Mus musculus: one gene and its partners. The protein of the gene in region 3 interacts with the protein of the main gene of each other region in a pairwise test. Links are inferred from orthologs where the notes say so. Each region holds a gene or a part of one and is shown on either strand. Other genes may lie near its edges. The genes, in order: Lax1, Kctd6 and Grb7.

Region 1 (5,218 bases), on a different chromosome or scaffold from region 3:
TCATCCATGTGAAGAACAGTTCTGTCTTGGATCTGCATGGCAGAGCCCCTCATTTCATTAAGTCTCAGGTGTCTTCTCCTCCTTCGAGAGACCCTCCCCAGTCACATCCACCACTCACAGCTTTCTTACTCAGTTCGGTTTCTTCTTCAAAGCACTTACGGCTGATTGAGAGTATACATTTATTTGGTTATGTCTGCTATCAAGCGCTGCCGCTGACTGAGCCTCAGGGAGTCACGGTCTTGCCTATTCTGTTCACTCAGCATCTCAAGCCACACGGTAAGCGCTTCATGAATATTTGTTCAGTGATAAGTGAATGAAATAATAAACAAATGAACACAGAAGTAGTTTTGAGAATAACACAGTCATGGTAGAAAATGACTTATGGCAATTATCCCAAAAAATTAAAAATAGAATCGCCATATGCTCTGTCAGTCCCACTACAAGAACTTTATTCAAAGCAAATGAAAACTGTGTCTGTACTCCCGTGTTTATTAGAGATGTTTGTACTGTCATAATCTTTGCAGCAAAAGTCACCATAGCCAAGATGCAGAATTAACCCGCGTGTCTATCAACAGATAAGTGGATAGAGAGAATTCGGAATACACATGCAAAAGATATCACTGAGCTTTAAAAGGGAAGACGATCTTGTCATTTGCGACATGGTGGATGGACCCAGAGGACCTAGCATTAAGTGAAAGAACCCAGGAACAGATAGGTCCTGCTCCGTCTTGCTTATATGCAGAGACTAAATAGATTGAACTCAGAGACTCAGAGAATAGAATGGAGGTCACCAGAGGTGGTAAGGGAGGGTTCCCAGAGGTGCCAAAGGTCAGGTAGAAGGAAGAAGTTCAACATGGCAATGCTGAAAGTAATGGATTCTTGAACATTGCTTAAAAGTGTTATTTGAAGCATCCTCTCATAAAAGGATATGTCACGTAATACATACGGTATTTAGCCATCCATAATACACATGTATTGCAAAACTATGTGCTAAACATAATACATAAGTACAGATTTTATTTACTGACTACCAAGTGAAAAAGAAAGAGAAAACAACAATAAAGCAAATGTCAACTTAAAAAAGAAATAGTTTTAAGGGGTCAGTGAGAGGGCTCAGTGTGTAAAGGCACCTGCAGCCAAGCCCAACACGCTAAGTTTGATCCCTGACACCCATATGATGAAACTGACTTCTGTAAATTGCCCTCTGACCTCTACACCATTCTACTCCCCCCAGATATAATAAAGAGGGAACTCATTTTAAGAGGGTGCTCCAGGCTTCAGCGATGGATAGGAACTTGGTCCTCTTCGTTTGTGTTTGACCTGCTCGTGACACTGATTTACTCTGGTCATCACGCTGACTTTTCCTGAAACTACAGCAATTCAGGAACAGAATACACTGTCATTGGGTTTTTACTTTGATGGAAGAGCTGGAATTTACCCATTCTAATGTTTCTAAAATCTCAGCGCCCTATCAACAGATGCTTTCCTTTTGTGTATTTGAGATTGAAAACTTCCGGAGCACGTTGACATCCGTGACTAGCTCTGTAAGGTCCTAAAACTTTATGACGTCTGCAGTTACATTTCTCACTCATGACAAGGGCTTTAGGATCTAAAAACTCATTGCAGGGATTAGGCCAAGAGGTTGGAAATCTCAAGGGCAGAGGTCAGGACCTCTGAGTGGAAGAAGATCCCCTCAGAAATTCACCTCTCAGTCAGTCCGTCCCTCTCCCCTCAACCCCAGTATCTCTTTTCTTCCCTCCCAGCATCCCTCGGGGAAACAGCTCTTAGCTCCCCAAGTTTGCTCATCTTGGTGGACCCAGGTCTGGGTTGGAAATAGACCATTCCTGTAGGAGATCAGGGGACCCTGGGGCTCACTTTCCCAAAGCACTCACCCCTGCAGGCTGCCAAGAGTCCCCTGCCGAGTGCTGGGCTCTGAGTTCCTTCTTGTGACCTCTGGAGGGGCCGGGGTGCTGTACATCACTGGACCTCTGAGGGGCTTTGCAGCTTCTAAGCCTTTTCAGTGTCGTGACTGACTAGCCAGTATGGCTTCCACTTTTCTTAGCTCTTTCTAAGTTGCTGATTCATAGAGGGGAAAAAGGGTAAACTGGTATGCATTTTGCATATAATCACCTTTTAAAAAAAAAGTAGATAATAGAATGACAGAAAATTCTCCAAATCCCTATGTATTCCAAATTGTATCATTTTGTACTATTGAAATTTCTTATTTAAGTACCCAAGATGATATATATATATATACATATATATATATGTATATATATATATACACATATATACACATACATATACATATACATATACATATACATATACATATACATATACATATACATATACATATACATATACATATATGGGGGGTGTAGGATCTTGAACTCTGATCCTCTGCCTCTGCTCCCTCAGCACTGGGATTTCCAGGTGTGCACCACCGCACTCATGAAGGTGGTTCTGGAGCTGGAACCCCAGGGCTTCGAGTACCTCATGCAATGCAGCCACCTCCCAGTCATTCTTCCTAGATCATATTCACCAAGGTTCTCACATACAAAACTGGTTTTTAGTTTTTGTTTCTTTCTGAAGCTTTTAATCTTCTGTTCTAGAATGTTCTCCCAACAAACTGCCTTCTTTGGGCTGGTGCGATGGCTCTGCAGGTAAAGGTACTTACTGCCAGTTTAATGACCCAAGTTTACCCTCTGCATGCATAGTGGAAGGCAAGAACCGGTTCCTACAAATTATCTTCTGATCTTCCGAGACACACACACACACACACACACACACACACACACACACACACACAGAACGGCTGTACCACCACTACTACTACTAACAGCAACAACAATAGTAATAAGACCCAAACCTCCCTACCTTCACCTGAAATTCCAGGCTGAGTTGGTAGAAGGTTCATCAGAGTTGGTCTACTGGAGGTGGCCACAATGCCCACTGCAGGAGCCGTGCTCTTTCTCACCCAGCTGTCTGTGCTCCCAGTGTGAAGCAGTAGGGCCACTCTCTAGTTTCTGCCAGTTGATGGAAACATGAGGGGCCTGTGGGGGAGTAGGGAGGCGACTGTCAAGAGGCCCAGCGTTTTCGTGAGAAAATCTTCTTCCTCCAACCCCCAGGGCAGTGTGAAAACAGCAAACCACTCTGGCAGAATGGAAAGTCGCTGACAGGAAGCACCCTCCACCGGTGTGCTAATAAGGCCAGGGCACAGGAAATGCTCCGCTCAACCCAGACAGCAGGAAACCCACCTTCAGCCCTCCTGTTCCCCACAGGCACTCTGGCATCTGGGGCCCATGTGGTTGAAGAGTCAGAGACATGACTATTCACCCTGTTTTTCTGAGTGTTAAAAACCTCTAGGGTCAAAATTCGAAGGTTCAAGACAATGTGCTTGCGTAGCTATTGTCATTGGTTATCTTTACTTATTTATGCTTTTCACATCTATTTACTGTGTCTGCACACATGCCGTGCCACATGAGTGGGGGTCAGAGAACACTGGAGGGAGTGTGTTCTTTCCTACTTACTGTGTTGGTCTCAAGAGTCAAACTAGGGTGTTGGACAGAGGCAAGTGTTTGTATCCAATGAACCATCTTGCACACTATGTTTTTTTTGTTTTTTGTTTTTGTGAGGCAGATCTCCCTTCAGAGGTCAAGTTGACTGAACTCATAGTAGCTTCTTGTCTTAATGTCCCTGGTGATGTGCTTACAGGTGTGAATCAGGCTCAGGGCTCAGAATGGTTCTTACCCCTGCTCCCAACCCAAGACAGGGTTTCTCTACACATCCATGGCTTTTCTTTCTTTCTTTCTTTCTTTCTTTCTTTCTTTCTTTCTTTCTTTCTTTCTTTCTTTCTTTCTTTCTTTCTTTCTTTCTTTCTTCCTCCCTCCCTCCCTCCCTCCCTTCCTCCCTCCCTCCCTCCCTCCCTCCCTCCCTCCCCCCCCCTCTCTTTTTGGTTTTTCGAGACAGGGTTTCTCTGTATAGCCCTGGCTGGCCTGGAACATACTTTGTAGACCAGGCTGGCCTCGAACTCAGAAACCCGACTGCCTCTACCTCCTGAGTGCTGGGATTAAAGGCGTGTGCCACCACTGCCCTGTTCTGTATTTCACTACACAGGCCAGGCTGGCTGACCTCAAACTCTCAGAGGTCCTCCAGCCTCTGTCTCCTAAGGGCTGGGATTGAAAAAGTGTACCACCAATGCTGGCCTTAGAATGGTTCTTAGCAGATCTCAAAAGAGCTAGAATTAGTTGTTTAGAGAGCTGTACAGAGCTGGCACCCGCTTGTGGTTCCGTGGGTGGACTGGCTTCATAAATAGATCTTCTGCAGGTGATAATGCCAGAGGTGAGCTGAGTTTCATACTCTCAGAGCCTCTGTTCCGGTATCATAGTGGGAATGGAACCGAGCCCGGGTTACAGGGCCGTTGGCCACTGTTTCTTCCTCAGGGCTTCTGGTGAGGGGCTATCTGTTGCTGGCCTGGCTCTGCTGCAGCCAGTCCCAGTCCTGGGTAACCTCTCATTTCAGGTACTGCTGGGTTTCTCGCCAGCATTTACCTCAAGCTCCCAAGCTTGGGAGAAAGTTTCGAGTTTGTTTCTAAAATCCCTTCCCTTTCGCTTCACGTGTGTCGGGAAACCAACCCTCCTGGCGAGTCAGCCAGAACCACCACGAGTGTATAGAGGATGCAGGGAGCCTCTCTCACGACACTTGCCAAACCAGGTGGAGCTCCAGGTAACTGGAAGGGGTGGCCTCCGTGCCTTTGCCATTCTGCCTCGCTGGGACCTCTTTCAGGTGCACGCTGGAGTTCTTGGCTTCCAGAGCCTGGACACAACCTACTTGTTCCAGTTCTCCCAAGGCCCAGAGTACTGTGCAGGAAATCCCGCCACGCCAGGCTCTGGGGAGCCTGCTTAGCTAGAGACAGATAGTCTGGGGGCTGGGACCTAGGTCTCTGCCTACATTTCCTTGGGATCAGGTTTGAAGAAAAACTAGTATTCCTTTAACCTGGTAGTGGTGGGAGGCAGAGGCAAGAGGATCTCTGAGTTCGAGGCCAGCCTGGTCTACAAAGTGAGTTCCAGGACAGCCAAGGCTGTACAGAGAAACCCTCTCTCAAAAAAACAAAAACAAAACAAACAAACAAACAAACAAACAAAAACAAAAAACAAACTATTATTCCTCTAACCTGGTAGTGGTGGGAGGCAGAGGCAAAAGGATCTCTGAGTTC
Region 2 (5,183 bases), on a different chromosome or scaffold from region 3:
AAATCAGACAGCTCTTATGCCAGTACTAACCTTTCACATTTATGTCTTCATGCCTAAATCAAAACACGGTAACGTCTTATGCAATCATCCACACAAACAATCAAAAAAGTTAGATGTTTCTGAATCTCTTCTACAGCAAAAGCCAAGGTCTGGCTACACACATATAACAAAGCTCAAGCTTACTAATCTAGGACAGCAGTCATGGGAATGTGTATATGTATGTGAATATATATGGCTGGGGGCTAGTGGGATGCACAGGCAATGACGTACATCTTTACTAAGGAGTTAGCTCCATGATCCAAGCCCAGATTCCTTCCTTTCTTCTTTTTTTGGGGGGCGGGGGAGTGGGGAAAAGGGGACAGGGTTTCTCTGTATAGCCTTAACTGTCCTGAAACTCGCTCTGTAGACCAAGCTAACCTTGAACTCAGAACTCAGAGATTTATCTGCCTCTGCCTCCTGGAATGCTGGAATTAAAGGCATGTGCCACTACCTCCTGGACAAGCCCAGGTTTCTTAAAAAGCACTTCAAGACCTTATAGTTATACATAAAATACATCAAAATAAAATACTAGTCACTTCCAATATAAGCTAGCAAAATCTATTTAAAATATTGTACTAAATTGATCACCAATAAAGTCAAAATGGGAGTAGTCTTGATTGATTTAAAATTGGTATGTGTTCCTTGTAAACATAAACAGAGACGCAACTAGAGAGACAAGAGGGGCAAGATTCTAGCCTATCCAACAGCCGGACTCTGAACTGATGCCTGCCAAGAACATCTCAGGGGTGGATACAATAAACACAACCCAGAAGTAGCTTCAGCTTCTTCCACCTCATCGTTCTCCAGGGACGCTAACAATTCATTTCCCTTTCATCTTCTCTCCCATCCGGCACAACCTCCTCCAGTGGAGGGCTTAATGAGAACAAGCCAGGCGACAGAAGGCCTCCAAGGGGGCATCAAGCAGGCCAAGGTGAAATGTTTCCTCATAAGATTCCTTTAAGTGACTTTCCCTTACGAAAGATCTTTCTTAGAGTCATGGCTACAACCAACGACTATAAAGTTCAAAGAAAGGCTTTCTGACTTGTAAAATCGGTTTACCTGAAAATACCTGACCTTTGATTCAAAAAAAAAAAAAAATTATGGTCCTAAAGACTATCATGCTTGCTTGAACTTCAAAGGTCATTGTAACTAATGTGTAAAATCTGATAGTATGTTAGCAGGTAGTTAAGAAAAACATATTCTGAAGAATTTCTAGAAGCCTGAAAAGAAGTTACTAATTTACTGACCCTAGCAAATCTGAAGAATGCACACTCCAGGAAGTTAACAACTTAACCTGTGAGAACCCTCCTTACCACAGCAAAGCTACAGTGGGGGTTATGATAAGACAGCACAAACATTCTAGACTTACTTCTGCTATTGAGTAAGACGCTCCAGAGCAAAAGTCCTCCTCCCCTGTAACAGTCTATATGCCGTAATGCTAACCTCGGATTAGAAAATGTAATGATACAACTGTAGTCACTGCCTTCCCACGCTTTCTGGGTAGCCCTTCCAAGTGCTTTTCTACTGAAACCTTTGTGTCTGCCATCCCAAAATGAAGACCGGTAAATTTTCTCTCTCCACCTATACTTACCTTCCAAGCTGCCTTTGTACTGAGTTTCTCTGTTCTTGGGAACGTGGGAGTTTGAAAGTGAAATACTTTTTATAGTAATTGGTTCAGTGGCATCTCCTGGCGTCTTCGGAGTTAACATCCACATACAGGCCAGCACAAGTAGCGAGCGCACAAGGATAATGGGATTATAAAGCTAAATTACCACTAACTAAACCCCTCTCTCAACCTCGTGGGCTAGAAGAAAGGAAATGTAGGCAAAAAGGGAGAAAGTCCTACAAGAAATTATGAATCTTCTGACAGTATCAAACCAGAAGAATATATACTCTCCAGCTTAAGTGCTGTCAGAGTCACAAATCATAAAATTCTACTTTCCCTCAGTTTCCACCAAAATGGGTATTATGACCTTCCCAAAAGTAACCACACCGTTTAAACACAATGGAGGTAAAACTGGCCGACAGGGCAGTGAGGAGTGGCGCTCTGGATTCACGTGCAGCATGCCAGCAGAGGGCTGTGAGAACCTGAGTAGACCGCCCTTTACTACTCGCAGCATCACCAAAATTTAAATAGGTAAGTCAGACACGGTGGGCGAACATGCAGGTTAGGACCAATCTGTGTTCCCACTCTGTCCCGTCCCTGGCCCTCCTTTCCCGGAGATCCCACCGCAGTTGCCGTGAGAAAAACTAAAGGTAAAATGATGTCCAGCGTTCGCAGAGACAAACAGACACGTGAGCTCTCGGGACTTCTAGAAAGCATGACTCAGGGTTGTCTCAAGATAAAGCAGAAGACACACATACGTGTTCCGTTTAAAATAGACCCCAACTATTAAAATCCAGGATGCGACGATGGATCATAGGAGTGACCATAAGACTGCTTTCCACGCTATTGCTTCAGCTAAAATACACTTTAAAAATTTTCAAATTCTATGGCCATCTTTCTACCTACGGTATTACAAAAAACTAAGAATCCGTGTGGGCTCCTGGTTTTCATCCAAAGGGTGATTCTCCCACCCTACCTACTTAGATCTTTACTCTTTTGAAACACTTCTGGCTTTGGGCCTGTAATACCCCACCATTATTCCCATACTAGAATATCTGCAACAGCGAAAAAGATGAGCCTGCCAAGGGGGGTACATTGGAGCAGGTTGTTTGGGCTATCCCAGACATTCTTAGCTAAACCAGGTCACATCGGTCTATTTGTCTGCATCACGAAATCCTGAAACCAGGTTTATCAACTTGCTGTATGTACTGGTGTACAGAACAGAAACATGACAACTTCAGCAGAATATCCAAACAGGATCTCAGTCACGTTTCGTTTCCCCGTCCCACCCCCAGACACAGCCTCCGCTGCCATCGCCCAGCAGGTGCTGCAGGGGCTCCCCACGACCTCGCCAAGGATCACCTCTTAACACCCAGCACTAAATCGCCGTGACATCCCAAAATTCCGGTAAAAAGCTGCAATTTGTGCACAAAACCCAAAAAGCAGAGCTTTAAACTAGGGCAGTGGCGGCTAATAAACACCACTCCCCAAAACACCAACCCTTTGCCCCGCAGAGCCCGCTGGTCCCTACTCCGCGGTCTCCCGCAAGCCAAGCCCGGCCGGCCACGCGCACCGAGCCCCGAACCCGAGCCGGAGCCCAAAGCCCGAGGCGGCCGCGCGTCCCCGATTTCCCCGCCCAGGCCCCGCCGCGGGCTCGTGCCAGCCCGGGGACGCGCGGCCGCCACCCGCCGTTCTCCTCAGCCCGACTTCCCGCAGCCCCGGCCCGCAGGCCCCGCTCGCGCCCCACTCACTGCACGAGCGCGGAGGCGACCCGGCCGGGAGACGCCGGCGGCCCGAGAGCGCGAGCGCGGGGACGAGCGAGCCCGCGCCCCGCGGCGGCAGCGGCGGCGGTGGCGGCGGCGGCGGCGGCGGCGGCAGAGGGGACGAGTGAGCCGGAGCCCGGAGTTGCGGCTCCAGCTGCCCGGCGCGGGCGGCGCCTTCTCAGCAGAGTCGCGGCGCCGAGAACGCGGACGCCCCCTATCGGCGGCGCGGGGCGAAGGCCGGGAAGCCGGATCGCCGCGGGCACTCTGGGCGCTGCCGGGGCGGCGTGGTCAGGCGGGCTCTGCAGCAGTCCCGAAGCCCCGCCTCCGTCCCGTTCCTATCCCCGCCCCGCCCAGGACTCCCGCGCGGAGCTCCGCCCAGGCCACGCCCCTAACTCCCCCTCCGCTTTCAGCCTCTCCTCCTGGCCGCCAGCAGTCTCTTCCCTGCTTGCCCAGGACTCCTTCTCCGCAACTGTTTCTCCTCAGCTGTTTTCACTAAGTCGATAGACCTCATCGCATGCAGGGCTTAGAGAGAAGAGCAGCCACCCAGACCGAGGCGCGTCTCAAGACTCAAAAAAGCAGCCAGTAGACACACACAAGACAAGTTCGAATCCTGGTGAGAGCGGTCCAATAAGAAGGCTGCCTTGGCCGGGCTTGGTGGCATACGCCAGAACTCCGGAGGCAGAGGCAGGTGGATTTCTGAGTTCGAGGCCAGCCTGGTCTACAAAGTGAGTTCCAGGACAGCCAAGGCTACACAGAGAAACCCTGTCTTGAAAAAACAACAACAAAAAAAAGAAGGCTGCCTTGGAGAATAAGGGAAGATGTGACGATCTGATATATATAAAATATTAGTATACATTTAATGTTATTAATATTGATGTAATTATATTATATTAATATATACATAATAATGTAGTTAATATTATTAATGTATTAATATATAAGACTCCTGGCCTTATATATTAAGGCAGGCCATTCTGTAAAGTAATGGCTTAGAGGGACCACCGATCCAGCCTTTTAGGCAGAGAAGAGCAGCCAGTTAGAAGGGCAGAGCTAACTAACGTCATCCTGTGTAATACCTCTGAGGATCTTAGTCTGGATGGGACTGGCAAGGGTAATGTCCCTTCAGGAAGGACATCAAGGCTGCAGGGCTAATTGGATTCCATGCATAGACAAGATGCAAAAGCCACCACTTCTAGCTAGCCAGATCTCAATCCACTTCTACATGGGTGAAAAGCCACTGGCCTTAGAAACTCACCTGGGCCAGGCATAGTAAAAGTAGTGCACATCCTTAATGCCAGCACTTAGAGGCAGTGGCATGTGGGTCTCTTGTGAGCTCTAGGTTAGCCTGGCCCACATAGCTAGTCTCTAGGACAGATGAGGCTACATAACGAGACCCTTTCTCAAAAGAACAAAACAGAAACTTACCTGGTTTACACATCTGCATGTTTGTGAGGTGGTTCTGAAATCTAGTTTTTATATGTATGATCATCATCTAATATTCTATTTTTTCTCCAAAAATCAAATTGATAGGTTAAATAAGCAATGTGGACTTCAACACAATGGACGGCTACATTGACATCTAAGCAAGGATACAAACTAATTAAGAATATGGGAATAGGGCTGGAGAAATGGCTCAGCGGGTAAGAGCACTGACTGCTCTTCCGAAGGTCCTGAGTTCAAATCCCAGAAACCACATGGTGGCTCACAACCATCTGTAATGGGATCTGATGCCCTCTTCCGGTATGTCTGAAGTCAGCTAAAGTGTACTTATGTAT
Region 3 (5,063 bases):
CACACCAGAGTGTCACCTATGCCTTAGCGCCCACGGGTACAGAGACAAGTGAGGACAGGAAAGACCGGGCAAAGAGATCTTGGGATGGGGGAGTTCCAGCCCCTACTCTGCAGGAACCAGCAAACCCTTGGTGCTGAGCTTGGCAGGGCTCAGACAAAATGCCAATCCCAGCAGCCTGCCTATTCTCCAGACATCCTCACCGGGACTGTGAGGCTACCCAGGACACCCAGGGTTCCCTCCACCAGGGTTGACCCTTCCATGAGGGCATGAAGGGATCTGGGGGACAGGTGAGTCAAGGCGGGGCGGGACAGCTATGCCCCAGGCTCTCCATTCAACCTTGACTCATCCACAGGACTTCCTGGCTAAGAAGGAGCACAAACAACCTGCCTCTGCCTTCCATCCCTGACTTCCCAACCTACAGGTAGCCTGGGAGTAAGGGGTGCGGGCTGGGTAGAGATGAAGATGTGAGGAGGGGCAGCCTGAGGCTCCTCTGAGGTCACCCTCCCCACCCTTGGCCAGTGTCCAGCTCAGGTGGGAATAATCATCTACCCACCTCTAGTCCTGAACCATCTCCCTGCCCATAGCCCAGGAAGGAGAGAAGAAACGCCCGGCCTGGATCCAGGAGCCTATCAGGATTGGAGCCCACCTCCTGGTGATAGACAAGCAGCATCCAGCCCTGCCTGGCCTGGGTCTGGAACCTACAACTCTGTTTGCTGTTAACTATCCCAAGATATATGATGGTGATTGTATATCTAGTCCCAGGGATTGCTCTGTGGGAGAGGGTCTCTAAACACACTCTGGGGTGTCCTGACCTGAGGGGTATCACCAGGCAGAAGTGGAGTTAAAACACCCAAGAAGACAGGCAGGCAGGCAGCAAAGCACCCCCCAGGACAGCCAAGAAGAGCAAGCAAGACCCATCTGACACTTAGCATCCTCAAGACACCAAGCAAGGAACATCAACACCGGGCACCCACTCCCACTCACCTAATCTCCTTTTTCAAGCAGAGGTGGGAGCATCAGCAAGGGTGCCCCTCCCTCAAATGGAGAAAACAACACCCAGTTAGACAGGTGTTTGAAACGGGAGGAAGTAGATTGAAGTCAGATTACAGTCTGATGTTAGAAGCTCAGGTGCAGGCTAAACTAGGGTTAGCTTCCAGATCCCTCCACCACACCCTTAAGATGGACAGCTCTAGGGGACGGTAGAGTAACTAAAATTTGAGATGAGGCAGGGGAGCCTGCTGTGGGGCCTGCCCAAAAGATGGAAAACATTCAAACTAGGGCCTAAGCAAAGGTTCCGTTGGAGAAACTGGTCCCCCAACCAATTTGTCCTCTCAGCTAGGCCACTCCAAACTCTGGCTCTCCAGCCCCAGCAGCTCCTGCCCCACCCTCTCTCCTACCCTCCCTGCTGCCTTGTTTACTTCCTGAATCTTGCCCCACCTAGAAAGCCCCAGGGGCGAGTGGCAAGGCCTAATGTTTGGGGCCAACTGCAAACAAGGCCACCATCTCCTCTTCCCAAGATGAGGCGAAGGGTTCGTGGGGCAGACACTGAGCTGCTGGCCTGGGCAGCCTGAGATCCGGCTCTGGACCAGCACAGGAAGCTAACACCCATCAGGACTTGGGGAGGGAAGTGGGGGGGGGGGGGGGCTTAACCTTTCCGGGTACCGGGAGCAGGTGGGGAGGTAGGAAACCCTGAGTTGACCCAAAGTTGATGCTCCACCCATTCCGCCGGGGTTGGGGGGGGGGTGGGAACATCCAATGAAATAAAGCGGGCGGGACAACTCTTTTAATGTTTAATTTGGGAAGAATGCTAGAGTTCTCTGTAGAGTTAATCATTAGTTTGCCTTCGGGGAGAACACAAACACACACACACACACACACACACACACACACATTAGCACGCGCTATTGGGGGAGAGCAGAGTCCAAGCTAGACAGACTCATGACCCAGAAGGCATTGCATTCTTGGGGGGAAAAGAGGGAGAAAAGGTTGAAAATACTATCAGCTGTCCCTCAGATGCACTCTGTCTCCATCCTACCATGAAAACCCAGACCTAACTAGGTCTTTCCCCCAACTTCAGCCTCAGGCAGGCCCACATACCCGGCCATACACTGTTTTCCAGGCCCCGAACTGCAGACCTTCACACTACACCCACCCCTCTAGCTTTCTTTGTCCACACTCATTTGCAGCCAGGAGGGATCCGCAGCCTGCTGAGCTTCCGTATCGGAGATGGGACCACAACGTGGAGAGATGCAGTTCCAACCATTGCGGGAGTCGCTCTCCCTTACTCCCCTCCGAATGGGAACCCCAGATTGTAGTAAACTGAGCTCAATAAGGTATTGAAGGGCAACCTCCGGATCTAGCACCCCCTACTAACTGGTGTTGGGTAAGAACTAGTTTTAGCCGGAAAGTCAAGATTTCAGGTGATGGAGAGACCTTACCTCGGGTCTCAGGGAGCAAGATGAGGAAGGGGAAGGATTGGTGATGCCAAGCAACAAACAAAACAAACAATGCAGCGCAGAGAGCATCAGGAGTGTGACTCTTTCCTTAGGGACCCAGACCTAACTTGCATCCCATCCCATCCCATCCCATCCCCCAAGATGAAGTTCCCGCTTCCGCCTTTACCCAGACCATAGCTCACCTGCCTGAGGCCACCGGTTTAGGGAGGAAGATTCCAGGCCTTAACTATCACCCACCCCCCTTCTCCCCCACCCCCACCCCCACCCCCCGCCTCTGGCCTGACCTCGCCGAGAGAGGGCGGTCAGGGGGGAGAGCGTGGCAGCCTCCCGGCCATCTAACTGGGCAGCAGGCCAGATCCGCTCGATGCAGGCACAACCTGGGGCCCTCGGTGAGGCTGGGGGTAGGAGCAGATTATCTAAGACCGATCTCGGTCGGCTTACCTGGAGCACCTCCAACAGAAGGAGCCGGACACCCGGCCCAAAGTCTGGCTCTGTCTAGAGATCCCAGACACTTAGATTTGATTTCGAATCCTTTCTCTCTTCTCTACAGATGGTAGAAAGGCTATCCCGCCTTTGGAATGTTGAGGCGGGAGAATATAGAGCGAGCCCTGCGTATCCAGATTCCAGGCCCAGGGAAACTAAAATTATCTCGGGCAGGTAAGGGCGGAGCCTGAGAGGCTCCCTGGAGAAGGAAGCGCAGGAGGAGGGGTGGAGACTCCTCACAATGCACCGCCTCGAATTGCTCTTGCCCTTCCTACTGAGCAGCAGGTGCTAGGAGAGAGGGAGAGAGAGAGAGAGAGCAGGTGCCCCGGAGAGAACAGGCTGGACAGAGAAAAATCTAGAATCCTGACTACATGGGAAGGGGAGTTTGGAGGCTGTTTGTTAAACGCGAATGGTCCCGCCCACTCCTACTCGTCCCATTCCAATGATGGTCAGTTCATTGGTCAAGCTAGGGGGCCGTCTTCAGCTCGGATCTCACCCCCTAGGGCAAAGGGCACTGGGCTTAAAAGGGAAGCCAGAAGAGGTGCTCTGCCCTTTGACCTCCAACCACAGTCCAGCCGCCCAGGCTGTTGTCCTGGCCCTGCTAAAATACCCAAGGTGCACCCTCTCTTCCGAGGCAAGTCCAGGGTCTCACCTTCCTAGTTTCAAGTTTAAGAGTGGCAAGGTGGCCTAGTGGGAGGGGCCACAGTTCTGGTGACCGTTGTGGCCTGATGCAGATGGCTTCTATTACAGCAGTTACTCCAGCTTTCTGGTTCAGCTCACAGCAAACATTGGAGGATCAGGAAGAGGGGTTGAGAGTCCCCAGATCAAAGGCAGCGGGCCACCTCCCAGCTTCCTATGGCTAAGAGTTAAGAAAACAAACAAGCCACTGGGGCGATAAGGGGTCTGCCCTGAGGAAGCACAGCCTCCCTTAGCTTTTCCGCTTGAAAAACTAATGTGGAAAGCCACCGTGGAAGTGTGTGCCTTTTAATCCCAGCTCTCTAGGGGCAGGGGCAGGTGGATCTCTGTGAGTTCGAGGCCAGCATGGTCTACATGGACAGTGAGGACTGTACAGAGAAGCCCTGTTTCAAAAACAGAGTGACGACAGACAGACAGACATCAGACAGACTAGTATGAATAGAGCAAAGCAAAAAGGTGAGGAAGGGGCAGGTTGCTTGGGCCAGGAAGCAATTTGAACAAATTGCAGGAGACAATTTCCTCATTTCCAACCTAGCAGACCTGTGCTTGGCGCTGGGTATACAGAGCAAAACAACAAAAACAGACCCGCCCTTTGCTGGCTGCAACCCAGTCGGGGAGACTGACCTTTAAGAGTCACACAAATAAGAAATGACAGGTGACAAGTTTGCCAGGTGAGTGACTCACAGGAGGCAGGGAAGGCCATGAAAACAAAGCCAGGGAGGACCTGGCAGTGAGTGGGAACCAGAGGGGTTAACCTGCCATGGTGGACCCCCAGTGTGGAGAAGCAGCTGCTGGGAGGGAATGCAGAAGAGAGTGGGGGTGGACAGGAACGGAGGCCATCAGGTAGTCTGGGCAGGTCTTGCAGGTACGGGAGGGGTGGAGGGAAAACACTGCAGCTCTTAAAAGGGGGGAACACAGTCTCTTAAGCTGCTCTGGAAAGAGCAGACCCGTGGGCCCCTCCTCAGCTACCAGAGTCTCAAAGCACTGAGGAGGCAGAGCCCCAGGAATGTGAGATATTGACAAGCCCTCAGGTGGCTGTTTTGCAAACCAGGTTTGAGAGCCATCCATCCTGTTTGTCCAGACTGGCAGGAGGAGTGGGCAGAAGCCAGACCCTGCCAGGAGTGCAGGGCTGCACTCTGAAAAAAGATCACTATGTAGAAGGCTGAGCTGGAGGAAAGCCAGACTCCAGCTGAATGAGTGATATTCTCTCTCTCTCTCTCTCTCTCTCTCTCTCTCTCTCCCCCTTCCCTCCCTCCCTTCCTGTCTGTCTGTCTGTCTGTCTTTTGTTTTTCAAGATAGGGTTTTTCCCTGTAACAGCCCTGGCTGTCCTGGAACTTGTTTTGTAGACCAGGCTGGCCTACAAAGATGCTCTCGAACTCACAGAGATCAGCCTGCCTCTGCCTCCTGCCTCTCTAGTGGTGGGATTAT

The links.
Region 1: the proteins of Grb7 (region 3) and Lax1 interact in binary tests that used the Homo sapiens proteins (3 or more experiments, as listed by UniProt). The two-hybrid records come from large-scale screens. The link is inferred for Mus musculus from reciprocal best matches to the Homo sapiens genes GRB7 and LAX1.
Region 2: the proteins of Grb7 (region 3) and Kctd6 interact in binary tests that used the Homo sapiens proteins (3 or more experiments, as listed by UniProt). The two-hybrid records come from large-scale screens. The link is inferred for Mus musculus from reciprocal best matches to the Homo sapiens genes GRB7 and KCTD6.

The regions. Positions count from the first base shown.
Region 1 is NC_000067.6:133,686,929-133,692,146, forward strand, and holds the start of Lax1 (lymphocyte transmembrane adapter 1), read right to left. Parts: upstream 3,181-5,218; 5' UTR 2,881-3,180; intron 2,077-2,880; 5' UTR 1,979-2,076; coding exon 1,893-1,978; intron 1,371-1,892; exon of another isoform or gene 1-1,370. UniProt on the Homo sapiens protein: Negatively regulates TCR (T-cell antigen receptor)-mediated signaling in T-cells and BCR (B-cell antigen receptor)-mediated signaling in B-cells.
Region 2 is NC_000080.6:8,212,556-8,217,738, reverse strand, and holds the start of Kctd6 (BTB/POZ domain-containing protein KCTD6), read right to left. Parts: upstream 3,659-5,183; 5' UTR 3,397-3,658; intron 3,238-3,396; exon of another isoform or gene 1,631-3,237; intron 1,625-1,630; exon of another isoform or gene 1-1,624. UniProt on the Homo sapiens protein: Probable substrate-specific adapter of a BCR (BTB-CUL3-RBX1) E3 ubiquitin-protein ligase complex mediating the ubiquitination and subsequent proteasomal degradation of target proteins.
Region 3 is NC_000077.6:98,445,084-98,450,146, reverse strand, and holds the start of Grb7 (growth factor receptor-bound protein 7), read right to left. Parts: upstream 3,314-5,063; 5' UTR 2,898-3,313; intron 2,663-2,897; exon of another isoform or gene 2,639-2,662; intron 1,350-2,638; exon of another isoform or gene 1-1,349. UniProt on the Homo sapiens protein: Adapter protein that interacts with the cytoplasmic domain of numerous receptor kinases and modulates down-stream signaling. Promotes activation of down-stream protein kinases, including STAT3, AKT1, MAPK1 and/or MAPK3. Promotes activation of HRAS.